Canis lupus familiaris: one gene and its partner. The protein of the gene in region 2 purifies or fractionates together with the protein of the main gene of each other region. This does not show direct contact. Links are inferred from orthologs where the notes say so. Each region holds a gene or a part of one and is shown on either strand. Other genes may lie near its edges.

Region 1 (4,052 bases), on a different chromosome or scaffold from region 2:
ATTGACTTGACAGAAAAATTGAACATCCAAAACACCCCTTCCCAAGCACAAGCCTCTACCACTCAGAAACTGCAAGTACTATAGATAAGACAGGTATGTTTTTGAAAGTAAAGGGGTGCCCCTCTGGCTCGTGGGTGAACATGAAACTCTTGATCTCAAGCCCCACTTTCAGTTGGTGTGGAGCCTATTTAAAAATAAATAAATAAATAAACAAACAAATAAATAAATAAATGCTACACATTCCTAGAGAACTGATTTTTTTTTTAAATAGAGAATGCATGTGTGCATGAGCGTGCAAGCAGGGAGGGGCAGACGTAGAAAGAGAGAATCCCAAGCAGGTTCGACACTCATTGCAGAGCCAACATATGGCTCAAACTCACAACCCTGGGATGATGACCTGAGCTGAAATCATAAGTTGGAGGCTTAACCAACTGAGCCACTCAGGCACTCAAGAACTGATTTTTAAATGAGGGCCAGAGTAGCAGCAACCTCAGTGAAGTTCCTGACACTGCTTCATTTGGGAATTCCTGAAATGTTTAAAAACGTTTCAAGGCTCATCATTATATCAACTAAGATGTAGAGATTTGCCAGATGAATAACCATTAGGGAAATAATGAAAGTGTGCTATCTATTTTAACAATTAAAACACAACTAGAGAACCCTATAAACTTTTTGTTACCAAAGACAGTATGAAAAGTCACATTTTTATAAAAGGAGTCTTGATCTATTTTAAATTTTGCAATAGCAATGCTCCTTTTTATGAAAATAATTCACTCCAGTATGTATAAAACAGTTAAGAAGACTTTAAATTATAAATACATATTCACATGATTTTTTTTAAATTTCAAGCTTTAAAAAAATCCAAAGTAGTCTGTGAAAAATATTCAACACCACAGAGATACATTTAAGAAAAAGTAATTGTTTAGACTAAAATTCCACATTCTAAAAAAATCAAATAATGAGTGCTTCTTGCCTCCTTCCTTCTTTTTTAAAGTTATACTTTAAGGATTTTATTTATTTGAGAGAGAGAGAGAGAGAATGAGTATGGGGGAATGGAAGAGGGAGAGGGAGAGGGAGAAGAAGATTCAGCCCTATGTGGGGCTCCATCCCAGGACCACAGGATCATGACCTGACCCTCCTAGGTGCTCCCTCTTTTTTAAGTTTTTATTTTAATTCCAGTTAATGAATAGTGTTATATTAGTTTTAGGTGCTGCCTCATTCCTTCTTAAAAGCAGTCATCTTTTTATGAGTTTCTTAATAGAAATGATTCCTTTCTAGAAATAGAAATAGATTCCTTTAAGCACTGTTAACTAAATGTCTTTGACTCCTTTTTCTCACAGTGGACAGTATGATGAATAAATACAATTAAGTGTGAATAAACTAGTTTCTCAGTTCACAAATAAAGCCTAGTCCTGAACACAGAAAGCAGTTTCCATTAATATCTAGTTCTGTAGTTAATCCTCAAAAGATCGAAACTGTGATTTTTTAAGCATAGGAAACGAGGCCTAGGGAAATCAAGCTCCTTTTTTTCACATCCTAGTTAGTTAACGGTAGCTTAGAGACTGAAGACACTCTTGCCTTGTAGTCTGATTTATGAGTACTGGGTTCCCATAAAAGAATAAGCTAAAAATGCCAAGACAAAGAAACGCTTATTTCAAAAATGGCCAATAGCACAATCTGTCTCTCCTCCCAAAACTCATATGCATGGCAGATTTTTGTGCTGCTAATGCTACATGAAGAAAATGTAGGCCTAATCTGTCCAGTCTTCCATCTCAGTGCAAAGGAAGGGGCTGAATTTAAGTGGAGCTTGTTCTGTACGGCCTCATCCGGCCAACAGGCAGAGCTCCAGCTCCCTCGGGCTCCGCAGGGGAAGAGAGCCCAGAAAGAAAGAACCATCACCAAACCCCACCCTGCTATATCTTAGGTAAATAAAAACCACGTAAATTAAAAAAACAAAAACAAAAAAAAGAGGGTGTAAGAGCAAGCAATGGGTGCTCCTTCAACGGTACACCCGTGCACATTTCCTGATCCTCTATCTCCTTTTGCTCGGTGTCCCTAATGCTTCCACCCTGGCATGGCTTCTGCATCCTGTGTTGATCTCTCCTTTGACTCGACCCAGTAGGTATGGCCTTCAACTTCATGGGCACCGACAGAGCGGGTGTCAAGACCTGGGAGAGAGACGCGTTTCCCAAGCCTTAGTCCAGCACAATCCAGCAGCACATCTTTATTTCTAGGCAACTTCCCCACCGCTCTTCCCCCCTCTCCCCCGCCACCAGCGCATCGGCCCCCCAAGACCTCCTCCTGGGTGTCCTCCGACCCCGTCCAAGCTGCTGTGAGTCGGCGCCCATCCCTCCCGGGCGCGGGATAGCCGGGCCCTGGGTCCCAGCCCCGCGCCCCGCGCCCCGCGCCCCGCGCCCCGCGCCCGCGCCGCCACCCCCCGGCTCCCGCAGCGCTCTCACCTCATCCAGGGTGCGGCGGCCGCCGCTGCCTCTTCCTCCTCGGCCGCCGCCGCCCAGCTGCCGGCCGCCTCGGGATGCCGTCGCTCCCGGCCCGGAGACTGCAGAGAGGGCTGCGGGGCTCGCGCCGCGTCCCCGGACCGGTAAGGCGCGAGGTGCGCGGGGCAGCGGCGGCGACAGCAGGACCCACCGTCCGCCCTCTTCATGGATTTCCCGGGCCCGACCGCGGTCCTCCTGGCCTCGGTCTTCCTACGGTCCTCCCGCGCCGCCCGGGAGCATCCTCCAGACGTGATGGTGGCGGAAACCTGCAAGGGCCAGGCCTCTTCCGCGGCTGCCTCTGCCACCTGCTCCGCCCAGACTGCTTCGGGGCCTCGCGCACAAACACCGCCGCAGCCTCCTCGCCCTCTCATCAACCCATTCTCTCTCCACCCACTACCTCAATCTGCAAACCTTTTCATCCCCGATAGCACTCCTTTTTGTCTTCCAATCTCCTCCAAGGTCACTGTCCTCAATTTCCCACCTTAAATGTTTCTCTTTTTCTCACGCCCTCTCCCTGTGATTTCCTGGGTTTTGCCTTCCTCCTCCCTCCAACTCAGTCATCTTTCTTTGCTCAGAGTCACTATTTTTCCAGGCCCCTGGCTAACCCCATTTCTCCTGCTTTCCCTCTTTTTCCCTCTTAAAATCTTTTTTTCCCTCTCAATTTTCCCTTTTGTTGTTGTAAAAACAAACAAACAAAACCTTTCCCCCAGAAAAAACACAGTTTTTCTTTCTTTCCCTTGAGACTCTGATTTCCATTTTTCATAAAGAACTCAAAGTATAGATCACTTGATCTCCAATATCAAGTCAAGGGGATGTATTCATGGTTTTAAAAAAGTTCGTAGGTCAAATAAATCCTCCACTTAATGTTCTTTCTGAAAAGCCCTTTCTTATATCCCAGTGTCCTCTAACAACAGAAGCTATTCAGAATCTAGCAGAGCGAAATGCTTCTGCTGCACTATATACTCACGGCTTGCAACAGAGGTTCATCTTGGTAGTAGGCACCATGGATCTCAAAGTTTACAGGCAAAAGTCAATATGGACTGTTGATGGATTCAGTGTAAACAAAGAAACTCATTCTTAACACATTTTCCTCCCAAACCTGCTGTTCAGTCCTCCCCCCCCCCCCTTTTTTTAACCCAATACTATCATTCACCTGGGCACGGTCAGAGACTTATCTCTCTCACTCATTCGCCTCATCCAGTCTTTAATTCTACTTCTTTACTATTTCTTTGAGTGTTCCCTCCAATCAGGATTCCAAATGTTTCCAGAAAATGGCACTATCAGGTATCTCACCATTCGTTCTTTCAAACCTCCCAGCTTAATCTGTCTTTACCTCTGTTTTCCCTTCAACCTATCTTACCTGGGCAATTTACCCTACCATTCCCATCTCTGCTAGAGACTCTTAATTATCTTCTGTTGTCTTTATATCTTTGGCATCACTTTCTCCATTAAGTCCACCCCTCTGCTATAAACATCCCCAAGTCTCCTCATGCCTAAAATAGAGTCCTCCCACCTCAACCTCTAACCACCATCATCTCTGGCTTCCCTTCATAACCA
Region 2 (3,679 bases):
TGCTCGGGGACAGCGAGCAGCTCAGGACAAGGACGGGCCAGTCACACACAGAGGCTGCGGCCAACACGGGGCAGTGTAGGGACAGTGGGCTGGAGAGGCCGCCGCCCCCCGGGGACACCGTGACGAGTCTCCACGCCGGGCCTCACGTGGACCCTTCGTCCTAGGAGGCCATTGGGGCCTGCCCGGAGGTGATGCGCCCCCTGCGCAGGCCGGATGCAGGCACCGCCCGGCCACCCCACTCCTCGCCGGCCACGTGACTGGCCGACACCCCGGCCGCCCCCGCGGCTCAGGCCCGGGGCTCCAGGCGCTGCTGGGAATGAGCGCACCGCGGGGTTGCAGGGCCCCACGAGGACCTTGAGGCTGCAGAGCGGCTGAGCGCCGCGGGTGGGGCGGCCCGAGGCCCAGTGCGGAGCCCGACGGCACCCGAACGCCGGTGACGAGCCCCCTGAGGCCGGCCGCGGGACAGACGCCGCGAGGGGAGGCAGAGTCCTGCAGCCAGCGCCCGGGACCTGGAACCCACCCGGGGAACAAGCCACAGCGTCCGCTCGGCGGGAACCACAAGCTTTATTGGCAGGAGGTCTCAGGAGCCCGGTCGGCTGGGGCTGGACGTTCCAGGGTGGGCGCCCCCGGGCCTCAGCTGCGAAAAGGAGGAGAAAAGGAGAGTTTTAGGTCCAGCAGAGGGCTTCTGAGGCCGAGTGAACGCGCTTTCAGGGACACGCTGTTGGAGCAGGCAGCGCTCTCGGCACCAGCGGCAGCGACGCCTGCCATGCTCCCTCCTCTGAGGCGTGTGCCGTCCTCCCGGGGGGATCAGCAGCGCGACCGCGACCACCACCCCAGGCCTGAGCCGCGCCACCACGTGAAACTGTGCTGCCGGCGGAAAACAGCTGCTGGTGCAGGACTCGCACCTGGTCCCCTTTGGCCCCCGGTTCCTGACGAGGTCATCTGCTGGCCGGTGCCCCCGCCCCGGGCCCCCTTCCCTAAGGGACCCCGGGGGGCATTACCTCCAGGTTCCCTCTGGCCTTCCGAAGGACTTTGTGGGTTATGACCACTGAGGAGAGAGAGAGAGAGAGAGAGAGGGACGGTCAGACGGGTGCCCCGGGCGTCAGGCCCCCTGCGGACAAGCCTGGGGCGCCCAGACCGGAGGCGGAGGCGGGTGTGGGAGGCTCCACCCATCACGCGCGCCGAGACCACGTCGCCCACTGGGCCAGAGGCGCCTCCGCGAGTTCGTGCGAGGCCAGGACATCGCGGGTACCGGCCCGCTGCGGGCTCAGCAAGGCCTGCGGGCACCCGGGGACCCGGGTCACCCCTACGGGTTTGGGCGACGGTGCAGCGCAGGGCCCGTGGCTGACTCTGAGAAAACCCGTGCGCTAAGGGCCACGGCGAGGGCCGCAGAGGCAGGTCCCAGCGCAGAGCGGACGTGAATCTGCGCAAGGCCATGACCTTTGGGCCCTTTCTCCTTGGGCCCTGCAGCTGCTAGAACCCGACACACTCCCGGGATGCACTGTGGAGGGGCCCCAGGCCGCGGGTGCCACCTCCGCCCCAGACCCTCTTCTCGCCCAACACAGCCACCCCCCGGCCACTGGGAAGCCGCCCCTGCCGGGAACCCGGAATCCTGCCGTCCGGGTCCCCGAGACACCCTCAGGGCGGGACCACGCACGGCCTGGGGAAACGCTGGATTCCGGCCCGAGGAAACACATCTCCCGAGTGACGGTGTTGGCGAATCTGAGACACTGGGGCGGTGGGCGCTTGTTCAACCGGCCAGCCCTGCCTCCAGAGGGGCCACCGCCTGCGCCCCTGCAACCCCGCGAACCCTCGCCGCGGGCAGGGGCTGCTCCTCTCAGGACTCGCCCCACCGGGGACGTGGGGGGGGCAGAGCCCGGCCCTGGGGTCACGGCCCCTCCCCGGTGGGCTGTGGCCGAGGCCTGGAGGTAGACAGGGTGACACCGAGTTAGCGGCCACCCGCCACACACGGACCCCGTGCAAGCTCGGGAAGGGGGCCGAGACACCGGCCGTGTCTGTCGGGCACGTGCACCGCGGGGTCTGGGTGTCACCATCCGTCCGGACGAGAAGCGGGCAGTTCTTACAGAGTCGTGGTCAGGACCCAGGCCGGGGCAGCCGAGGCCTCCCAGCGACCCCCGCGTGTCGGGGACAGGACTCCGCAGCTCAGGAGGGAACGTCACTTACTGCAGGTCACACGGGGAGAGACCTGCACTGCGCTCGTTAACGGCACCAGGGTTGTGGCGAAGGGCCCAGGCCGGGCTCGGTGCTCTGGATCCCGGGAGCCCGCCCCTGACCCCGGCCAGCAGGTGCGTTAGCCCCGTGCGCCCGGACACAGGCCGCCGCAGTCCTAGGCCCCGGGGCCACTTCCACCCCCACCCCCGGGGTCTGGCCAAGGGCTCCACCACGGGTGCTCCACGATGGGTGCCGCCCCAGACGCCCGCCAGGCTCCTCAGGACACGCGTGCCGTGGGGCCCAGCCAGCGCCCAGGCCAGCCAGCACCCACGGGGCGGCCTCCGACCTCCTGCCACCATGAGGACGCCCCGCCTCCTGTGCCTCCTGGCCGTTCCCCCCCCCAGCCGCGGGGACCCTCCGAGACAGAGGGACTGCACCAGCCCGTGCCCTGCCCCCCACCCCCCTGCCCCGGTCCCACCAGGCGACTTGGCTTTGTCTCTCAGCAGGCCCCTTGGCACATCCTGAGTATGTTCCTGGCTCACCCCGAGGCCACCTGCCGCCATCTGTGCCCGCCCGCTCGCCCACGCCAACCCGCCCCTCCGGACCCGCGCAGTCGGACCCCAGGACATGGCCCTGCAGCCGGCTCTCATGTCAGCCCTGAAGCCAAGGCCCTGTGCTGGAGGGCGGCCCCCTCGCCTCTGTGCCAGGCCCGGCACGGGGCACGGAGCACAAAGTGAGTGCCCGCTGCACGACCCGGCGTCCAACCCTGCCAGGGTCACGGAGTCGGCTTCCAGAAGGTTCTGGGGGACAGCTGAGGGGAACCATGCCCACCAGCAGTCTATGCCCTGGGCTTCTCAGAAATGCCCCGAAACACCGGCCCCCGACAGGAGCGGCACAGGCAGCCTGGTGCCCCCGGAGCCGCGAGGGGCCACCACACAGCGAGTGGGCCCGGGCCGAGGTGGCCCACGGCTTCTCCGGGCACAGGGAGCGGCGGCCCACCACCCCGGCTCCCGGCAGGGACAGCGCTCGCCTTACCAGTGTCCCGTAGCCTCTCGGAGCCCGAGTCCCGGGTCCGCCTTTGAAGTATTTCTCAAGACCAGCCGGTCCCCCAGTCCCCCGGCCGGGGCCCTCCTCCTGGCCTGGCCGGGGGACCGGGGGCAGCCGAGCAGGCCCTTCCCGCACGCCAGCACCGCGGGGCTGCTCCCCGACGCCTCTCACGACGCAGTCCTGGCCAGTGACCCCCCCACCCGCCGCGCGGACCGCTCGAGGCTTCTCCCAGACATAGCCTGACGTGCTGCCCGTCGGCCCGTGTCCACGCCGCCCCCTCCGTCTGACCAACACCGCCCCTTCCGCGGGCTCCGCCCAGCTGTCCCTCTGTCCAAGAAGCCCACGCCCCCCCCACTTCCCTGCCCCTGTTCCCTACCACCCCGGCCAAGGTCACGTCAAGGTCCCGGTCAAGGCAGATGCCAGGCACCCGCCGCCCCAGCGAGAGGACCGCCCCTGGCAC

What was found. The genes of interacting proteins can lie anywhere in the genome.
Region 1: the proteins of CDK5RAP2 (region 2) and PDE4DIPP2 purify together in Homo sapiens (affinity purification with mass spectrometry; 3 studies listed by BioGRID and IntAct, counting the BioPlex papers as one, with this or other methods). This does not show direct contact. The link is inferred for Canis lupus familiaris from reciprocal best matches to the Homo sapiens genes CDK5RAP2 and PDE4DIP.

Annotation. Positions count from the first base shown.
Region 1 is NC_049238.1:57,721,586-57,725,637, reverse strand, and holds the start of PDE4DIPP2 (myomegalin), read right to left. Parts: upstream 2,882-4,052; 5' UTR 2,867-2,881; coding exon 2,460-2,866; intron 1-2,459. UniProt on the Homo sapiens protein: Functions as an anchor sequestering components of the cAMP-dependent pathway to Golgi and/or centrosomes.
Region 2 is NC_049232.1:73,962,095-73,965,773, forward strand, and holds the end of CDK5RAP2 (CDK5 regulatory subunit-associated protein 2), read right to left. Parts: intron 1,049-3,679; coding exon 1,002-1,048; intron 638-1,001; coding exon 581-637; 3' UTR 541-580; downstream 1-540. UniProt on the Homo sapiens protein: Potential regulator of CDK5 activity via its interaction with CDK5R1. Negative regulator of centriole disengagement (licensing) which maintains centriole engagement and cohesion. Involved in regulation of mitotic spindle orientation.